Linked DNA regions of Canis lupus familiaris. The protein of the gene in region 1 purifies or fractionates together with the protein of each later gene. This does not show direct contact. Links are inferred from orthologs where the notes say so. Each region holds a gene or a part of one and is shown on either strand. Other genes may lie near its edges. The genes, in order: PPP6R2 and AURKA.

Region 1 (3,803 bases):
CCCAGCCTGGGGATGCATAAGGATGCGTACGTGGAGGTTCCTCCAGGCAGCACTGTCTGCAAGAGGAAAGGAGGGTCAGCAGGGTTAGGAACCCCCCCCACTCCCCTTAGCGCCTCACAAAACAGTAAGCAATGGTGGTCCACTGCCCCCAGAAGCCCAGAACTCTCTGGTATCAGCAAATCAAGCAAAGAGATATGCACCTCAGCTCATGAGATGTGTCCAAGGTGGGGCCAGCTCTCTGGGGGACACAGTCTCATCAGGACACTGAGCTAACCCTGCAAACGCGCTCAGAGGAGATGGCTAACAGCAGCCTTGTCACACTGAACACAGGTCTTTCCTGACCCCACGCATGCAGCATGACGTGTCTACCTTCTCATTAACCAAATGTTCCAGAATCCCTACATTCATGAAGCTCACTTTCTAGTGGGAGAGGCAGATGATAACTTGATAAATAAAATAAGCTGTGCAGGAGAGCATGGTGGGTGCTGAGACGCACCCAGGAAAGGGGAAGGGGCTCCATGGTGAGCGAGGTGGCAGGCGGCTAAGTGACTGAGCCCTTCTCTACCTGAGCCGCATGCTGCCTGGAGCTCCTGAGCTGGGCAAAGGCCAACTCTGTGCCCTACCTGACTCCAGGCCCCATGGCCCCTGACTTGAAGGCCAGACCCACAGTTAACGTAGGTTCTCAGATGACCCCTATTTCAGAGCACAAGAGTCATCTGGGAGGGGGGTGCAAAATGTCCACACCCTAGGACTTACCCCAGAGCAGAGATGGACACTGAGCAGATAAAGGTGTGAAAACATGCTCCTGGCACCTGCTTGGTGGTTCTCAAGCAGGGTGCAGGGTCCTCTGCTTGCAAATCATCCCACCCACAACACCCGCACAGGCACCTACCAGAAGTTCACCTACCTTTGGCGGGCTGAGCAGAAGCTGGTGGAAGTCCTTCAGTCGTGGCTCAATGCCATGCAGTACGCTGCTGCTGACGGTACACAGCCCTTCCAGTCCCTGAGAAAAGGAGTCCACCAAGCCCTCTGTCCTGTGGACGAGGACAGCAGATGGAGACACAGGGGACACACCCCCATCCTGTTTCACCCTCCCCCCCGACTTCTCTGCTCATGGTACAGAGAAGAAAAAGGCAACACTGGCCTTTAGAAAACATTCCCAGGTGACGGCCAAGGGCAGCCCCCTCATCCCCACCAGGCAGGCGGCCCCTCGTGCTCACTGGAACCATCTCTGTCCCCCTCTCCCCGTTCTGGAAACATTCACCATGGTTCCCACTCCTTGGCTGAGAAACAGGAGACAGGACGCCACACTGTCCCTCTGGCTTCTTAAAACTAATTTCTCTGAGACATTCATATAAACTTTTTTCAGTTATAGAAAAGAGAATCAGCTGGCTCACCCGTGGTTTTGGTGGGTTTTTAAAAAAATATATTTATTTTCGAGAGAACCATAAGTGGGGGGAGGCACACCAGGGCAGGATGGGGAATCCGAACAGACTCCCCACTGGGTGTCCGCACCCCCAAAATGGACTCAACCCCAGGACCCCAGGTCATGACCTGAGCCGAAACCAAGAGGTGCTTAGCTGACAGAGCGCCCCAGGCATCCCAATCTCTGCTTTTATGGGTCATTTTCACGCTGTCCGTTCATCTCAGCCAAGGCTGGGAAAGGCCCGCAGAGGAGCCCCCACATCCCCTAGAACAGGCCCAGGCTTCCTGAGTTCACGAAGACAAGAACGGTCAACATTCTGGTGGCCTGACCAGAGTAAACAATGACAGCAGTATCATTCTAGTTTTAGGGAATAAACTAACGGCTGCGTACTGGTTCCCAGAGAGCGCGAGAATGAGAAACTGCTTCTAATCTCACTACCAACATTAACTCAACGTCTTGTCATTTTGTTCTTTTGTTGTTGCTGCGGTTTACATCCAGTTAATCCGCGCTGGGGCTTCAGTGAGGCTCCCTCCAGAACAAGGAAATAAGAGAACTAGTCACCCCAGGAGACAGGTCACCACAGCACACGACGGGACGAGCAGAGATGCACGCGCACACACGTGCACACCCGGCACCCCACACCCCTCCCCACATGCTGGAACTGGCCACACCTGTTCCACACACACACACACACACACACACACACACACACACACACACACACATACACACACACGCAGGAATACTTGGGAAGCTGCTGACACTGGTGCCTTCAGACCGAGGCGGGAACACCTTGGATACCCAAGGTCAGAGAGGCTGCGGATTTACTTTTCAATGAGGAGTCTACCCGTGTGATTATTTACATAACAAGTAGTGAAACATGCCACGCAGCCAGGCCCCCCATCACTCACCCAGCCCGTCTGGTCTCCAACAAGGTAAGTAACACCTGAGTCCCACTAACGAGGCAGATCTCAGTCTGGTCTCCATCAAACATGTTCTTCAGAAGCTGCTCCACGCAGTCCTGCCTGTCAGACACACGCAGAGCTCACTGCTGCTGGAGCAGATGCACAGCCCCACATCCAAAGGACCAGCTCTCCTCCCCAAGGAGTAACCCCCCTAAACCCAGAGGGGGCTTTGCTCGGGCTCCAGACCAGGCACCCAGGGTTCTCAGGACATTCCTGCCCCTACTGGCCTAGAGTCACTGGACCTGCCTGGAGAGCCCTCCCAGGAGACACAAGTCTATCCAGTGAGCCAGACGGGCTATGTCACAGCCAGCTCATCAGAATCTGAATCAGAGGCAGCAGCAGCATCTGCTGGTGCTCCAGGCAGGGCCTGGGGACTGCCTAGTGACTCAGAAAGACCCCGCACCCACCCAGCCAGGCACCCATAATGCAGCCAGCACTCACGACTCCAGCACTGCGAGGAGGGGGTCGGGCTCTGGAGCCTCCTGCAGCTGACTGCCCTGCTCTCTGCCCAGCCTGATGATGTCACAGAGGGTTTGAGAGGCATTGGACTGTCTCTGGAAGGAAAAGGAGATGCAGTACTCTCCTCAGCGCTGAGAAAGGTCAGCAGAGCTGCCCCGCTCGCTGCTCAGTTCTCAGGACGCTGGACTCTGAACCGGTCCGTCTCAGAAATGCCTGGTGGGCCTTTCTGATGTCAGAATGCAAATCTAATCAGACCTTTTGCTGTACTGACCGATCCCCAAGAGACCAAATGGGGCTCTCTTAAGGGTTAAATACACTACACAGACATTGCTCCACCCCTGGAACCACTGTAAGATACACTGTATATATGACCTCGTTACTGATACTGTATTTCAAATTCATACTTTAAATATTAAAACCTAGCTGGTAACATTCAGGAGAAGTCCTACAAGCTAATGGAAAAAGGCAGGTGCCACAGAGAAAACAGGAGGCCTCGACTCTTCTGGGCAACACTAATCCTTAGCCGGTGAAGACTGGATGGTGCCCTTGCAACACTGGTGAGTTTAGCAATGCAGATAACTGACTAGAGAGAAACTCGGCCCTGGCTCCTCGCCGGGAGCCTCAGAACACACGGCACTGATGTGCGTCGTGGGGGCTCTAGGCTAAAGGAAGTACATGCAGGACTATTTTAGGGAGAAATGAAAAGCAGCCAGGTGGTCCCTGTGGTCTCACCCCTGCCTCTAGCCTGGGAGCAGGCCAGTCAGCCCCCAGCACTCACACAGCTGGAGGGGCACCCCCTGGTCTGGAGCATAGGCCCCCTCGCCCAGCTGTCCAACAGGCACACAGGAACAGAAAACAGTGTGGCCGGGACACAGAGAGGGCTCACACATGAGTTGGCATCACTGTTCTCAAACTGCTGAGGGCAGGAACGTATGTTGGCTTTTATCAGGCAC
Region 2 (4,597 bases), on another chromosome or scaffold:
ACATCTCCTGTTCAGAGTAGTAGGACATGTGGTTTGAGCCGCAGGGATCTTGTGAGGGTCATGGGGTCATGGGACTCCTGAATCTCGCTGTGGACTGGAATCACTAGAAAGGCAGTTTTCCTGGGGCTCTCTCCAGAATCTCTGGATCAGAATCATCTTATTTCATTCTGTTTATTATTATTCATCTCTCTGAGAAGGAAAAGTATATTCAATTGGAACAAGTATCTAGCTTCTGTTGAAGACGATTGAATAAATGTTAGGCCTGTGTGATCTCATTGGTCTGCTGCCTGTGGTTGTTGGGGAAAGTGAAGAAAGCCTTAGAGCGTGTGTGAAATTAATGTTTGCATAACACAAGCTTATAACTCCTTTCTCCTTCCTGTTTCTCCTAACCTGCTGTTGGACATAAGGACTCCTCTCTCTTTAGCTGTGGTTCCATCTTCAAGGTGAAGTTTTTTGCTTATTTGTGAAGTGGATGTGAAAGCGTGGGGATGGGAGGCACTTTCTGATTGGATTCTAGAATTCGGAGAGCACCTGGGTAGGAAAAATACAGAAAGGTTTCTGCTTTCTTGGAGTTTATGTTCTTCTGATTTACTAGACTGTGCCTGACTCACAGTATGGGCTTAGCAAGTGTTAACTATTTTCATTATTAATATGCTTTCTTAACGGATTAACTCATTCCCCCAAACATTGGTGTAAATACTATGTGCCAGACAAGTTCTGGCAGGGGGCAACAGTAAACAAAATGAGTCTAAGCCCTTGCTCTCATGGAGCTTACTTTCCTTGGAGATACTGATTAGGGAGCTGGGAGGCAGAAGTAAGCGAGTACAAGTAACGTCATGTAAGGTGTTAAGTAAGGGCTATGCAGAAAAATAAAAACGAGATGGTTAGAGAGCCATCTGAGGAGAGACCTGAATGTCATGGGGAGCAAGCCACACTTGTATTTGAGAGAAGTGCCAAATGGGTAGAGAGAACAGGAAGTACAAAGGCCCTGAGGCAGTGCACTGCTTTGAGGAAAGAAAGAAGCCCTGTATGGCTGGTGTGCAGAACGCAAGAGGAGATCAGTCCAATAGGTGGTCAGAGACTGTAGGTCTGTCTGTGCAAGTTGAATTTGAATTGGAGTTGAGGGACCAGGAGGGGCTTGGCTTGTGAACTAAGGGCCGGCCTAGCTGACTTGTTAATGGGATCACTGGGTGCAGTGTTGCAAATGGACCATCATGGGGTAAGGGTGGAAGCAGAGTGACCATCGGGAGCCTGTGGCAAAGAAATGAGGGGAGAGAGCATTGATTTAATCAGGTGGTGGTATTAAATGTCTTGAGCAGTGATTTTGAAGGTAGAGCCTACAAAATATGCTGATGGATTAGGTATGGGGTTTGAGGGAGAATCATGTAAAAGATCAGTTAACCCAAGCAACTGGCAAGATGGGTTTGCCAGTAACTGAGATGGGGACATCTGTGAAAACGGGGTTGGGGAGATAGAGTAGGGAGGGAGCAGGAATTTCATTTGAGACATTTTAAACTTGAGATGCCTCTCTGGTTACAGGTGGTGATGTTTCATAGGTGATAGGAGTTCAGGGGAGAAGTCTGGGCTGAAGATGGAAGTTTGGAGGTCCTCAGCTTGTGAGTGCTATTGAGAGCCAGGAGACTGGATGAGTTTAATAGGGAATGAGTATAGCAGTAGAAGTGTTTCTAGGCCTGAGCTCAGGCTGCTCCTGAGAGCAGAGGGGAAGAGAAGCCGGGAGGAGAAAAGAGCTGTCTGGATGTGGGGGATAATGAACAGGAGGTAGGTAATAGTCTGGTAGTCAGGACAGGTTAGGGTAGAAGATGTAAATTCAAGTCATCTTAAAGATGTTTAGAGCCCTGGTTCTGGATGGGGGACCCTAGGAAGGGAATGGATGGAAAGTGGGGTCCAAGGACTCATTCATGGGTTACCCTAGACTCTCAGGTTGGCAAAAGTCAGACTGATGGAGCAAAGGAGGTCACAGCAGGACAGCTGGTAAGGTCAGGGACCACCCTCCAAGCCAGCAGAGGCTGGGAGTAGAAAAAAGAGTGACGCTGTCAAATGCTGCTGGGGACACCAGGGAGCCCAGGGTGCTGATTGGACCTTTGAATTTGCTAACATTAGAGGTCAGTCGTGAGCTGACTCCTCCGTAGGGACAAAATCCTGATGGGGGAGGGCGAAGAGCCAGAGAAATGGTGGATGCAGGGAGTGTAATGACTGTTCTGGAGCTTTGCTGTTGAAGAGTGAGAGGAAAGATGCTGTTCTATCTAGAGTATGTTATGGGGAAGAGAGAAGCTGCTTTTTTTTTTAAAAGGGAGCAGGGCTGGAAGCAGGCTCCTGCACTGTTGGAATTAATCCCCTAGAGAGGGGGTGGTGGAGCAGGTGGTCTCAGGGAGTGAAGTTGGGGGGTGAGGGAGGCCCCACACCTGTCCCTTAGGTTACCCGAGAAAGCAAGGCTCCCTTGCCAGCTTCATTTGGACAAAGAAAAAGTGTGAAATTCTGTGTTGTTGAGGCTTTTTCATCAGGAGCTATAACCCTGATCTAGCATAGTAGCACTTTGAAGCACAGGGATTTGTATAAATTAAAGGTGGCTCTTTTCTTTTCAGGCATTATGGACAAATCTAAAGAAAACTGCATTGCAGGGCCTGTTAAGGTAAGTTGAATAATCTTAAATTTTTTTTTTTTTTTTTTTAAGATTTTATTCATGAGAAACACAGGCAGAGAGGCAGAGACAAAGGTGGAGGGAGAAGCAGGCTCCATGCAGGGAGCCTGGTGTGGGACTTGATCCTGGAACTCCAGGATCATGCCCTGAGCCAAGGGCAGATGCACAACTGCTGAGTCATCTAGGCGTCCCAATCTGTAATCTTGATCACATTTATAAAACCCAGTGGAGATTGGTTTTTATATCTGGACTTCGTTTTACCTTTACTTTGGATTTTAACTTCAGAACTCTACTACATTCCTGGATGTCTGTCACTTTTTCTCTGCATTCAGTGACATTTTGTTGATTGTCACTGTAACTATTATTTTGTTCTGCTTTGTCTTCTAGCTAGCTGTTTAAGTATCTATATTCCTCCATTGTGTGCGGGATAATGTACACAATGGGTGCCTAATACTTGCTTGTGCTTACTTGCTTGCCAGAAGTTAAATTGCTTTGTAATAGTCTGTTCTGGTCATGATTCAGAGGACTGTCAAGCTGCATTTTAGTGAACATTTCTTGGGAACCCACTTTGAGCCAGGTTGTGTCAGATGCAGGGGTTATAATGATAAAAAAGCACATGGTCTTTGACTTCCAAGAGCTTATTAGCTCTTTGGTGGGTTATGTGAGCTGGTATCACACTTTCATAAAATATGTGTATATGAAATGACCTGAGTAATTCTGCAGAGGGATGTTCAGATTGGGATAGGTTGGAATCTAGAAAGGCTTCATCAAGGAAGTACCTCTGGCTCTTAGAATTTAAATGAGTCTTTATATAAAGATCCTTTAATATAAATATTCCCCAGATTTTTTTTTCCTTCTAGGAAAAGAGCATAAACATACAAATCTTGTTTCTTGTTTTGTATGTATGTGTTGTTTTTAGAAGTTTTCCTTTACTTTTTTTTTTTTTTTTTAAGGTTTTATTTATTTATTCATGAGAGACACAGAGAAAAGCAGAGACACAGGCAGAGGGAGAAGCAGGCTCAGGCTCCTTGCAGGGAACCTGATGTGGGACTTGATCCCAGGACCCCAGGACCCCAGGATCATGACCTGAGCCAAAGGCAGATGCTCAGCCACTAAGCCACCCAGGCGTCCCTAAAAGTTTTCCTTTTCTTTTTTTTTTTTTTTGTTTGTTTGTTTGTTTGAGAGAGCATGCATGAGTGGGGTGTGTGTGTGGAGGGGCGGCGGCTGTGGCAGAGGGAGAGGGAGAGAATGTTAAGGAGGTTCTAAACTCGGTGCTGAGCCTGACCTTGGGCTCTATCTCACGACCTCCTGAGATCACGACCCCAGCCAAAACCATGAGTCAGATGTCCAACCTATGGAGCCACCCAGGCTCCCCTATTTTTGACTTTTTCAGGAGCCTCCATACTGCTTCACCTGCACTGGTTTGTATTCCCACCAGTAGTGTGCAAGGGTTCCTTTTCCCCCAAGTCTTCATCAACAACTTGTTCCTTGTGTTTTTGGTGTTAGCCATTCTGATAGGTGTGAGAAGTTTTTCAAGTAAATGGATACCTTAACTTTTTTTTTTTTTTTTTACTGGCTAAAAGTCAATAACCAATTAGAAAAAGGCTAACTTGAGTCATTGTATCTGATTCTCAATTCCTATGATAAAGATCATTTTTAAAAGCTGCTCTGTTTAAAACATTTGTCGCTGCCTGTGGATGTCACTAATTTCAGAAGTAACTGACTTTTACTTGGAAGTTGGATACCTGTCTCTTGTGAAGCACCCATACCTAGTGAGCTTGTGATGAACTCTGAGGCTTCCCTTCCTAGCATTGTTTCCGTGTTTATGAGGAGATTTCCTCCATTGTAGTTGGAGGAAGTCCTCTACCCCATTTTAGTTTGACTGGTTCAAGGTCTTAGAATTAACTTTTTTCTTAAGCTTGTGATCCTCCACTTATT

Evidence for each region.
Region 2: the proteins of PPP6R2 (region 1) and AURKA purify together in Homo sapiens (affinity purification with mass spectrometry; 4 studies listed by BioGRID and IntAct, counting the BioPlex papers as one, with this or other methods). This does not show direct contact. The link is inferred for Canis lupus familiaris from reciprocal best matches to the Homo sapiens genes PPP6R2 and AURKA.

Annotation. Positions count from the first base shown.
Region 1 is NC_049231.1:17,765,434-17,769,236, forward strand, and holds part of PPP6R2 (serine/threonine-protein phosphatase 6 regulatory subunit 2), read right to left. Parts: intron 3,408-3,803; exon of another isoform or gene 2,946-3,407; coding exon 2,833-2,945; exon of another isoform or gene 2,829-2,832; intron 2,452-2,828; coding exon 2,338-2,451; intron 1,035-2,337; coding exon 908-1,034; intron 1-907. UniProt on the Homo sapiens protein: Regulatory subunit of protein phosphatase 6 (PP6). May function as a scaffolding PP6 subunit. Involved in the PP6-mediated dephosphorylation of NFKBIE opposing its degradation in response to TNF-alpha.
Region 2 is NC_049245.1:42,346,352-42,350,948, reverse strand, and holds the start of AURKA (aurora kinase A), read left to right. Parts: upstream 1-1,544; 5' UTR 1,545-1,591; coding exon 1,592-1,616; intron 1,617-2,603; coding exon 2,604-2,650; intron 2,651-4,597. UniProt on the Homo sapiens protein: Mitotic serine/threonine kinase that contributes to the regulation of cell cycle progression.